Linked DNA regions of Xenopus tropicalis. The protein of the gene in region 1 purifies or fractionates together with the protein of each later gene. This does not show direct contact. Links are inferred from orthologs where the notes say so. Each region holds a gene or a part of one and is shown on either strand. Other genes may lie near its edges.

The links. The genes of interacting proteins can lie anywhere in the genome.
Region 2: the proteins of ift57 (region 1) and ift27 purify together in Homo sapiens (co-immunoprecipitation; 3 studies listed by BioGRID and IntAct, with this or other methods). This does not show direct contact. The link is inferred for Xenopus tropicalis from reciprocal best matches to the Homo sapiens genes IFT57 and IFT27.

Annotation. Positions count from the first base shown.
Region 1 is NC_030678.2:103,604,287-103,609,402, reverse strand, and holds part of ift57 (intraflagellar transport protein 57 homolog), read left to right. Parts: intron 1-596; coding exon 597-687; intron 688-2,052; coding exon 2,053-2,124; intron 2,125-2,780; coding exon 2,781-2,903; intron 2,904-3,428; coding exon 3,429-3,500; intron 3,501-4,005; coding exon 4,006-4,137; intron 4,138-4,926; coding exon 4,927-4,989; intron 4,990-5,076; coding exon 5,077-5,116. UniProt on the Homo sapiens protein: Required for the formation of cilia. Plays an indirect role in sonic hedgehog signaling, cilia being required for all activity of the hedgehog pathway.
Region 2 is NC_030680.2:123,414,975-123,421,150, reverse strand, and holds part of ift27 (intraflagellar transport protein 27 homolog), read right to left. Parts: intron 4,401-6,176; coding exon 4,321-4,400; intron 4,146-4,320; coding exon 4,086-4,145; intron 3,181-4,085; coding exon 3,121-3,180; intron 874-3,120; coding exon 756-873; intron 1-755. UniProt on the Homo sapiens protein: Small GTPase-like component of the intraflagellar transport (IFT) complex B that promotes the exit of the BBSome complex from cilia via its interaction with ARL6. Not involved in entry of the BBSome complex into cilium. Prevents aggregation of GTP-free ARL6.

The sequences.
Region 1 (5,116 bases):
CTCCCCACTTAAGAAGCCCATGAACAACTGAAAAAGTTTCTAGAATGTCACTGCTACATCCTAATTATAGGTTTTTAAAAATCTTACCTTTCATTGGTTAAATAACCATACCCCAGGAAGATTTCAGATGCAGGGGCATTTAAATAGGTTTTTATATAATCCACAGAGAAAAGAGAATATAATATTACACATGCTTTTTGGTGGAAGCACTCCATGACTCCGCAAAATGTTAACAAGTAGGGGCCCTAATTCATATGTGCTTTGTAAACTGATGATAAATGTTGCATGGTCTGAGTGCCAGAGCATTAAAATGACAATATAATTATAATAGTTATAGTTTGTTTATTCACAGTAATAGCCTACTACCTGATTTTGTTTCAGAAATTATTTTAAAGAATAGTAAATAAAGTAAGTTAACATTAGAAAGATTATTATATGCTGGTGCCTGTTAAGAGGGGGTGTTAGTGATGATAAATAAAGTAAATGATGCAGGGGAAAGCAGAAAGTAGTATATTTGTAGGGTTCTCAGTGTAAGATTTTTATAAGTATGTTTATTGTATCTAATCTGTCCGTTGCCATGTTCTGTATCATTATAGGCCTACATACCCAACAGAAGAGCAAGACGAAGAAAATGTAATTGAGGACGATGCTGAGTTGACTTTAAACAAAATTGAAGATGAAATTGCTGTGAGTATCTGCACGGCTTTTGTATTTTAATGCAATTTGTATCCCTAAAGGCACAGTCAGTTAGAATTGGTAAAAAATAATAGGGATAGAAATATGAAACAATCCTAGTTTTAGTTTAAGCTAGGTTTAAATATCTTGTAGCTCTCTGTTCCATAAGAATCCACTGGTTCTGCCCACTGCAAGATTGCTGGCATTGCAAAATGTGACCATGCATGGGAATGCCCAGATTGCACCTTTCTGACTGTTTGACCCAGGCCACATCATGTGGAATTTCAACTGCTAACTACTGTGGGTCAGAACATGACCCTATACATGAGCAGGTAATGGTCATTTTTCAGAAATGAGGGAGTCAGTTTGATAACATATTGGGTCGGATTCACTAAAGGTGGTTAACACGTAACGCATAGTTTTGTGCATTAAAAAGTGTTCGATAATTAAGTACCGAATCATCAAAGTCTTTTTTCATTCGTTACTACTCATATCGCATGTGCAAAAAGCCTGATTATGGCAAAGCGTTATTTCCATCGCATTGAGGTAATTATTGAATAGAAATAATACTAACGTGTAATTCACAAACATATTTGAAGCATTAAAAGCATAAAATGTGGCGATAATTACTGTGAAACTTAACGCCACCCACGAGTAGGCGTTACTAAACAAAATTGCAGCTGGTGATTGTCTGTGGTGACAAAATGGACTTGTCATGCATCCTCCAGTTTTCAGGGAAATGGTAATTTTCAGAACAGTAGTTTTCAGAAAGTAACGGTTACGTGCGCAATAGCGTGCGCTAATATCGCGTGCTACGAAATAACGCATAAATATATTGCATGGTTTAAAATAACTCTTAAAAATATGTCATTGCCAGAATAACGACAATTACATCGCTTCTTAATTCTGACAAGTGTCCTCTTAGTGAATTGATCCTTAATTCTCAAAATATAAGAAGTGATAATATTTTTAACGCATGCTATAAATATCACTCGTTTTTTCGGACTTGAGTGAATCGGCCCCATTGTGTTGGCACAACTAAAAAAAGGTAATTAATGCTATGCCAGTGGCATGGCGCCTAGCAGAGCAGTAAAGAACTAGGAAGCAGGTTTCTAGTTATGGCGGTCACTTATAGCATTGAATAGAACTGCCAGGCCTAGAAAGAGCACTGGCTAAGAGAGGGTTAAAAAATGCATGTTCCCTTTAATGTACCTTTTAAGAATAACTTTTTTTTTTTTTTACTATGTAAAGGCATTGGATGTTTTCCATGGAAAATTTAAAACATATACTTGTGATGTGAAATGATGCTTATGCACATATTTTGTTGTCTATGTACTATACATGTATAAAAGTTAACTAAAGCTGTATCATTTTTAGGAAGAGGATTCTGACAATGATCAGGAACATTTTATTGATTTAAATGCTCTTTCAGCACAAACACAGAAACTGGTAAGTTACATTTTTGTTTCATGAATGTAAATATACGATATATATAGGCTTTTAAAATGATTTTATTATCCACTTAATTCTAGGAATACAATGTCCTAGGGATGACTCTTTGTTCTTCATTTACTAGGATAGAAGCAGTGCTCCCCTTTAGGCCTTTTAATAGTGAAGAAGCACAAAGAGTGAAACACTGAGGTGCAGGTTCAAAATTTTAGCCCCTGTTTTCTTTATAAGTGGTGGAAATTGGGCTGCCAAGCTCTGCTGGAGACCAACTGCCACCATGGCTAAAGCAAGACAGAACTGAAAGATTCTGGGCACGATAGGGATGAAGTTAGTTATAATATGTCTGTATCCTTATGATACTTATTCAAATAAAACAAAAAAACATGTTCCATATTTCTAAGTAAGACTAACATCGATTTTAATGGGGGAGATTCTGTTATTGTGCATACAACTTTACCTATGTTCACTGAGTTGCCGTAGAACTTTCTCAGATGAGGCACTCTTTATAGGTTTTAAGAGAATAGTGCCACCTAGTAGATGTTTATTTCTGTGGAGAATGTATAACATCACAAGATACCAATTTGTTATGCATTAAAACTGAGTGCTGAATGGCCTTTTGTAACTTCACATATAAACCTATTTCTGTATTACTTTAGAATACAAAGGAATCTTCCAAACCAGAAGAGATTTTGGAATCAAACACAGATGCAGCAGAATGGATCCTAGAAGTGGAACGTGTTCTGCCCCAGCTTAAAGTCACAATCAGGACAGACAACAAGGTCTCATTGTTAGACATCATTCTATTATTCCACAGCACTTTACAGAGTTGATCAGTGCTCACATTATTCCCTTCCGCAGTGGAGCTTACAGTCAAGTTTACTACAATAAGCATATGCACACAATAGGGTCTGTTTATCGAGCAACTAAGCCATTCGGTGGTAAGGAAATGAAGGGTCAGCTGGAGGAAACACAGTCACAGAATAATTTAAGGCAGCAATGCTAACTACTAGGTCACTGTGCTGCCATTTTGTAAGTTTGTATTTTCTGCCTCTATATATGGTAGTGTAAATCACATAACCTTATCACTGTCTGACCTCTGCGATTAGTGTCTGTGACTTTATAAACTTTTTAACCAAGCTTAAACAGTAATGGATTGAATTTCTCCATTTCATAACCGTCATAACAGTAGCTGAGAAAATCACAATTGGCCTGCTTTTTGTAATTATCATTTGGTCAGTATTCTAATTACCAGTTAGGTTTACTTTTCATTTATTTATATTCATATTTATATCTTTGGCTTATAGGACTGGAGGGTCCATGTTGATCAGATGCACCAGCACAGAGATGGCATTGACACATCCTTAAAGGAAACCAAGGTAAAGTTTTGTTTAGGGTTTTTTACCTATGACCCATATTCAAAGTTAAAAAGAGTTTGGGAACAACACAAGCTTGAAAACAGTTCCTGGGGTGCCAGAAAGGGCAGTTTTTGCTATTTGGTAGCCCCATGTGGACTGGCAGTCTATACTTTGTTTTTATGCAACCAAAACTTTCCTCCAAGCCAGAAATTAAAAAATAAGCACCTGCTTTGAGGCTCCTGCGAGCAGCATCCAAGGGGTTGGTGAGCAACCTGCTGCTCATGAGCGAGAGCCACATTAGCAGGCATAACTTTTGTACAGCTACATTTTGTGAGCCATAATATTGTGTGTGTTTGTGTAAATCTGGAAAATACTTTGACAGAGAACAGGAATACGGAATTCACTGACTTAACCTATAGATTAGCACATTATTGAGTGGGAAATAACCATGTTTTTTATTGGCAGTTTTATATAATAGATGGGTAATGGATTTTGTTTTTTTGGTTTTTTTTTGTTTATACTGCAGGGATACCTTGACAAACTTCACAATGAAGTTGCCAAGGCACTGGAGAAAGTTAGTAGCCGTGAAAAGTACATCAACAATCAACTGGAGCAGCTGGTGCAAGAGTATCGATCTGTACAGGCTCAGCTGAGCGAGGTACCCTCACATTCTCACTTCATTGTTCTTCTGTTTTTCTTTAGAAAGACAAATTAAAAACTGTTCAATTCAAGAAGTGCAGACTTAAGTCCTTAATGCAGTACCAAGGGATTTTATCCTTGAAGGCTACTACCATTCACAAACTACATTACACAGTATCCCCACTACACTGTGTGAATGCCCTGGATTCAGCCCCACTGAATGCAAGTCTTCTCAGCCTGACAGAATATGCACTAAGGCCATGGGTACATGAAGTGGAAAAGAGGGAATTGTATACTGTTAATCTTATATATCTCACCATGACTAAACATGAAATAGCTTCAGTTTCCCTGTTTAGCTCAGGAACTAAGAAAAGATTTTCATGAATGAATCAAGAGGCAAAAAATATCTTCAGAACAAGCCCTGTTCATAGGACTTATGTTGAACAACAGGGTATATTGTAGCTGCAGCATGGTGGCACTCACTGAAGGCGTCGCACAATGTTTTAGCTATATTTTTACTTGTAACATAGGCTTGCCTTAGGTGAATTTCTGTTTATTGTGAGTTGCAGACATGAATAACACAGTGTTAGTCTCTTGGAAAAAGAGTCTTTCAACTGTATCCTTTCTATTTTTAGAGACAGGATTGTAGACAACAGTTACTGATGAGAGACAAAGACCAAGGGTAAAGAGGGGTGTATGTTTTGTATAATCTTAAGTGATTTGGCTTATATGTAATTGATACTGTACAAATGAATGTTGGGTTAATATTTTTACATGCAAAATTATATTTTCGGGTTTCCTTTATTAGGCAAAAGAAAGATACCAGCAAGCAAGTGGAGGGGTAACTGAGAGAACCAGAATCCTCGCTGAGGTAAAGCATTTCCTTTAGTAATAACAGATGCAGTGTCATCATGACTTCATTCCTACTTTACATATTTCCTTTGTGCTTTATTGTCAGATAACAGAGGAATTAGAAAAAGTAAAGCAGGAAATGGAAG
Region 2 (6,176 bases), on another chromosome or scaffold:
CCCTCAAGTTGTGCCGCCCTAGGCCCGGGCCTTTGTGGCCTCTCCCCAAATCCAGGCCTGCTCTTCTGACTTTCCAGCTTTCACATGGTGCTCACTAACCCCAGCAGCCATATTGCTCTGGGAGGCTACAATTTTTTTCATTACGGTTACTTTTTTTTTTTACTTTCTATTTATGCCCTCCTCCATTCATATTGCTGTCTCTCCTTCAAATCACTGCATAGTTGCTTGGTTAAATTGGACCCTAGCAACCAGATAGCCACTTCAATCCAAACTGGACAGCTGCTAAACAAAAAGCTACATAATTTAAAAAAAAAAAAAAACACAAATAACAAAAAATGAAGACCAACTGCAAAATGTGGTGCAGCATGCTGAGCTACAGGTGCAAGGGAACCTTCCACACTGCACTGCTCCCAGGTCTCATACTGTATGTGGTTTCTATTGCATTAACCAACAAGCAAGCTGTAATATTGTGGCATTGATGTCAATTTGTCTGACATTTACAAAAGGACGTATTTTATGCCCACATTTGTGCATTCCGTGCCTGGCAGTAGGTGCAACATTTCTGATGAGTAGTGACAATGAAATTTAGGGAACAAAATAACACTGCATTGTGGCTAAAAAAGCAACTGTTTTTTGCTTTGTTGCCTTTAGTACCTGAGGCCCTTTCACTCCTTTCAATCAGCGACACACAAAATAAGAGAGAAATGAATGCATGCTACACAAGGAAAAGGAACTTTCCATTCTCTGGCACCAACCTGGGAGCTGAGGGCTGAATGTCTTCGCTCTAACTCTCTGCAACCACTTTGCGCAGCTACTGAATGAGCTCTCATTGGTGACATCAAACACCAAGCACAGGGCACCCGGCTGGTCCCACTGCATGAAAAAGAGCATTCAGAGAAAGCAGCATTAAAAATAGAAATGCTACAAAAAAATCTTATTTCTAATTCCTACATTCCCCCATAAACATATATTTTCATTTTAATTACCATTATAGGGTACCCACATGGATCCTGTAAATGATGGGCACACATTTCTATACACAATCATAAATGCATCGCTGTTTGTCCATATATTCTCATGTGAGAAATGCATTGGTTACTCTGGAAGCTTTATCCTTGCCTATCCTCAAAGTACTCAATTAGCCTGTACTAGTGAATTAGACATTGGATCTTTTATCAACATATGCCTTTTTCTACTACATCTTAGTAGTCCACCAATTCTCTGGAGTCTCTTTCGTCAAAAATGACTGGGAAGAGGTGAGTCTCTCTGGAAAGCTGCTGATAATTGCTTGTTTTGGCAACCCTTGGTTCAGAATGACTTTTGGGAAGAAAGCTCAAGATTGCTCCTAAAATTTCTAGTTATATGGGATACCCTATAGCAGTGGTCCCCAACCTTTCATACTTGTGAGACACAGTCAAATGCAAAAAGACTTGGAGAGCAACACAAGCATCATAAAAGTTCATGGAGGAGCCAAATAAGGGCTATGATTGGCTATTAGACTGCCTCTATGCACACATCAGCTTACAGGAGGCTTTATTTGGTAGTTATTATTGTCTTTATTCAACGAAAACTTGCCACCGAGTCAGGAATTCAGAAATAACTCCCTGGTTTGGGGGCACTGGGAGCAACATCCAAGGGGTTGGTGAGCAACATGTTGCCCCTGAGCCACTGGTTGGGGATCACTGCCCTATAGGCTGAAGTTTACCCATTGGGTTTTAAAGAACAGGCAGGGCAGTATGCTGGTCAAATTCCCAACTACAGACCAGTTTTCCCCCCTAGCATATGTAAAGCCAGGGAAGTGGATCCACAAGAAACACATTTTTGTAGAGATATCCTTATTCATATGCAAAGCAGAAGGAATTAGCCCAGGATTGCTCTGACCTAGCTGAGCTTTAAACCCCAGTAATGTAGAGAGTGCTATTTTGAGACAATTTGAAACTGGTCTTTATTTTTTATTTGAAGTTTTTGAATTATTTTGCTTTTTGTTCAGTAGCTCTTCAGTTTGGAATTTCAGAGGGTATCTGGTTGCTAGGGTCCAATTTCACCTAGCAACCAGGCAGTGTTTTGAAAAAGGCAGCAATATGAATAGGAGAGGGCCTAAATAGAAAGATAAGTAATAAAAAGTAACAATACAATTGTAGCCTCAGAGAGGAATAGTTTTTGGCTGTTGGGGTCAGTGACCCCCTTTTTAAAGCTAGAAAGAGTCAAAAGAGGAAGGCAAATAATTTAAAAACTATAAATAAAAAAAGACCAATTTAAAAGTTGCTAAGAATAGGTCATTCTATATGGGTGAACTACCCATTTAAGTGTATTCCATGTTAAAGTACATTTTAGGAGTGGGTTTCCTTAATTCGCTCCTCTATTCCTGTACAGCAGACTGTAGGTGGGTGGCAACCTGAAGGTCAGTTGCAGTGACATTTTGGGAGAATGCCTGCTTGCTCTCCAAGATACACCTGAGTTCAATTGGGGAAAACTTTTTTGTTGTTGTTCTTAAAACTAAAGCTAAATGACCTGTATCTTTTTAGCAAAAAGGGGGACCTGATTAAAGGCTTGAACTGAAAAAGTCCAACAACCACTGCTGTAAAACATGATGCCGCTCCTTACTGATTGCTAAGGACATTCATTTTCTAAGACAGAAGCTGCCATACTGATTCCCTAAAAGAAGGGGTTCTTTAAAACCTTACTAATCAACTAGAAGAGATGTGTTCATATTTGCACAGTCATGCAATGATTTGCATTCTCCAGGGCCTTGGTTACACAGGGAAATAAGTGTCAACTCTCCCCTTTTCTTCTTTTCTCTTCCCTCATTTAACGTGGAATAAAAGAAGAAGAAAACATTGTGGGTTACCATTATAATTGGAAAAATCAGGGTAATAATGTTTCTTATAAAATGACCTCTGTACATAATCATGAGCTTAAATGGAACCAGCATTACAACTGCCTGATTTATTTTTGGATTGGATCAAGTAGAAAGGAGCTGTATACTTCACAGCCTAACCATTTATTAGGTAAGAAAAGACAGGAGCCTTATAGTGCGAGGTGCTTCAGATTGGATTGCGTAAGACTCAGCACGGCGGGATTGGCTTCAGTAGCTTTGTCAGAATGAACAGAGGGACTTACCAGCTTCTCCGTCACCTCATAAAAGATTGCTTTGCCAGGACTGTCGCAGAGGAAGAGCTCCTGTAAAGGAACAATGGAATGAGCTGGGCTTATATGTGAAGTCTCAGAACAGACTGCATAATGGACAAAACAGAAAAGGCAGGTTAGCGGAGAGGTGTGACCCTGGGCTTAATGTTTTATGGCCCAATTATTATTTGTGCAAAATGCCCAACTGGCAGAGCATATATGGTTAAATTAACTTTACCCAAGTGGGTATAAATAGCTTGTGCTGCCCCAGGCTGTTAACCCCTACCATCTGGGAAATATATTATAACCATATTTTCCAATCCGCAGATAAGGTTGCCACCTACTGGACTGCCCCAGACATCACGGTTCCACCCCTGACATCACCAGCGCACCCCCCTACCCCACATCATTGTGCATGGTAGGAAGTGATGCATTACGTCACTTTTTGTCCAAACAGGTACCCCCTATCCATTTTGGATGTAGCTGGCACGTATCTGGTGAAAAAAAAAAAATTCTGCTAAAAATGTTATTTCCCATATCACCAGTCAAGAGCATCGCCACTAAAGCTGCTGCCCTAAGCTTGGGTCCTAAAGTGCCTATATGGGTAAATATGGGCCTGGTCCCACAACCTTTGTCTGGCTTTTGCTGGCAACCCTATTCACAAATGTCTCCGATTCTCCAACCAACCCTTATTTGATTAACCTTGCAAAGGAAAATAATTGTTGAATCTACAGAAAATAAAATAAAATTGTTAAAAAAAAAAAACAAAAAACAAAACTACAACCAGTGTAGAAGAAGCCAGCTGTGAACACACATTCAAAGCATTGTGGGAGTCTTGGCTGAATGAGAGCTGGCTTCTTTTACTTTGCTTTAAAAGTCAGAACCAGCTGTGCAGAAAGGGCCAGAAAAAGACTGCTTTCTACAGGAGCGATATTTACAAATCAGAAAAGCACCCTTACCACACTATCTCCAGTATCTGGTATCTGAACGTTTTTTACAGAAACCTCCATGCTAGTGGTCTGCAAGGCAAAAAATGACATTGTAGTTTAGAAAATGTCAGTACTGGTGATCAAATGTACACAGCGCCAACAACATGCAAAATCCAGAAACCCAGACACTACTTCCCAATCCCGTTGGTACCCTGCAGCCTATATCCACCATAAATTCAATGTATTTCTATTCGGCATGACCTACCATACTGTAATTCTTTGGGAAATGGCTCCCATCACTCCGGAAGAGTTGGACCAGGGTACTTTTCCCCACAGTTGTGTCACCTGTGATAGCAAAGGAACATATGTCACACACCTTCACTCAAAACATTTTATTTCAGCTCTTAAAGGAAAATATATCCCACTTGTTGACATGAGTTCCTTCAGTTGGGGCTATGCTAAAATGGTGCATAACACTATCTGACCTGCCAGAAATAAATATATAGATTTATTTTTTACACAGACATGCCCGATTCCTCAGATTGAGAGGAAACCATTAGAGCCTGTCTCTGATTCGCAGGGACCATTTCCTAACCCCTCCTCAGCAGAAATACTCAAGCCCTCCTCTCACCTTGTTCGATGAAATATTGCAGAATAATGTTCACCCTATATGATTCGAGGAACACATGTCCTTGGGCTTTAGCTTGAAGGTTCACCTTTAAATTAACTTTTGTATGACACAGGCAGTGATATTCTGAGACAACTGGCAGTTGGTTTTCATTTTTTATGATTTTTCAGTTATTTAGCTTTTTGTTCAGTAGATCTCCAATTTAGAATTTCAGCAGATGTCTGGTTGCTAAGGTCTTGTTTACCTTAGCAACCAGGCAGTGGTTTGAACGAGAGACTGAAATATGAATTAGAAAGGGACTGAAAAGAAAATTAAGGAATAAAAAGTAAAAATGATAAAATTGTAAGTTCAGTGATAGTTTTTTTAAGTACTGGGGTCTGTGACTCCCATTTAAAAACTATAAAAAATAAATAATAAAGAACAATTTCAAATTTCTAGGAATAGGATTTTCCATAACATATTATTATTTAACTTAACCACCCCTTTAAAATGATACACAATATCCAATAAAATGTGTTTTATAAGAAGGCGCTCAAAGAATCAATAGAGAGACAGGCATAGTAAAAAAAAAAAAAAAAATTATTTTAATTGTGAAGGGTACAAATGACCGAATGCGTTTCATGCTGGATAGTACCAAAACACGAAGGCCATTTGTATCAGAGAGATAAGCATAGGGGAGAGCTATGGTTTGGGGGTTTGCCTTGGCACCTCCCTGACTTAGCCTGGCTCTGTCTGTCTGAGTACCTGCTTAAAATTAGCAATGTTTATAATATGGTGATTCTAAACGTGCTTTATAAATGGCAGATTCTTGTTCATCAGGCAGAGATTTGATTATTTTTCTCAATACCAAAACCAATGCTCATCCCTAACCTCCTTGTAAATTCTCCCTTAGAATATTCTACAAATAACCCAGCTGATAGTACTGTTGCAAAATACACTTTATGTGCCTAGTCTTTATACACTGTCTGGTCTGCCCAACATAAATGCAACTCGGTGAGCACAAACACAGAGCCACCCGCCATATCACGTAGCAAAGCCAGGGACATTCCCCTTCTTCCACTTTGTACCAATAAAGGTCTCAATGGCTTCTTAATACAAGCGCAATAAACTCTTCAGGGGTCTGTAATTATGGGTAAAGCAATTCCGCTGCTCACTAGTCTGTTTAATGGCACTCACAGCTAACATACTCCAGACATGCAATTTCTTCCCTTACATAATCATGCGCCCTGTTGGGCAGTATTGTGTTCTTTATACATAATATGGTAATGTATATAATCAACACTGCCACTTACTCCACCAATTGAGGCCACATGGTAGCTGTAACTTTAAGTGTCATGTAAACAGTGGTATTATCACAAGGCTTTTAATAAATGGACGCCGTGCCCTTTTATTGTTGCCCCCTCGAGGGTGCATAATCTCATATAAAGGGAAGGCATAAGCCGCAAAAAATGGGGGTGTTAAAATAAAGGTCAATAAAAAGATAAAGCATATAT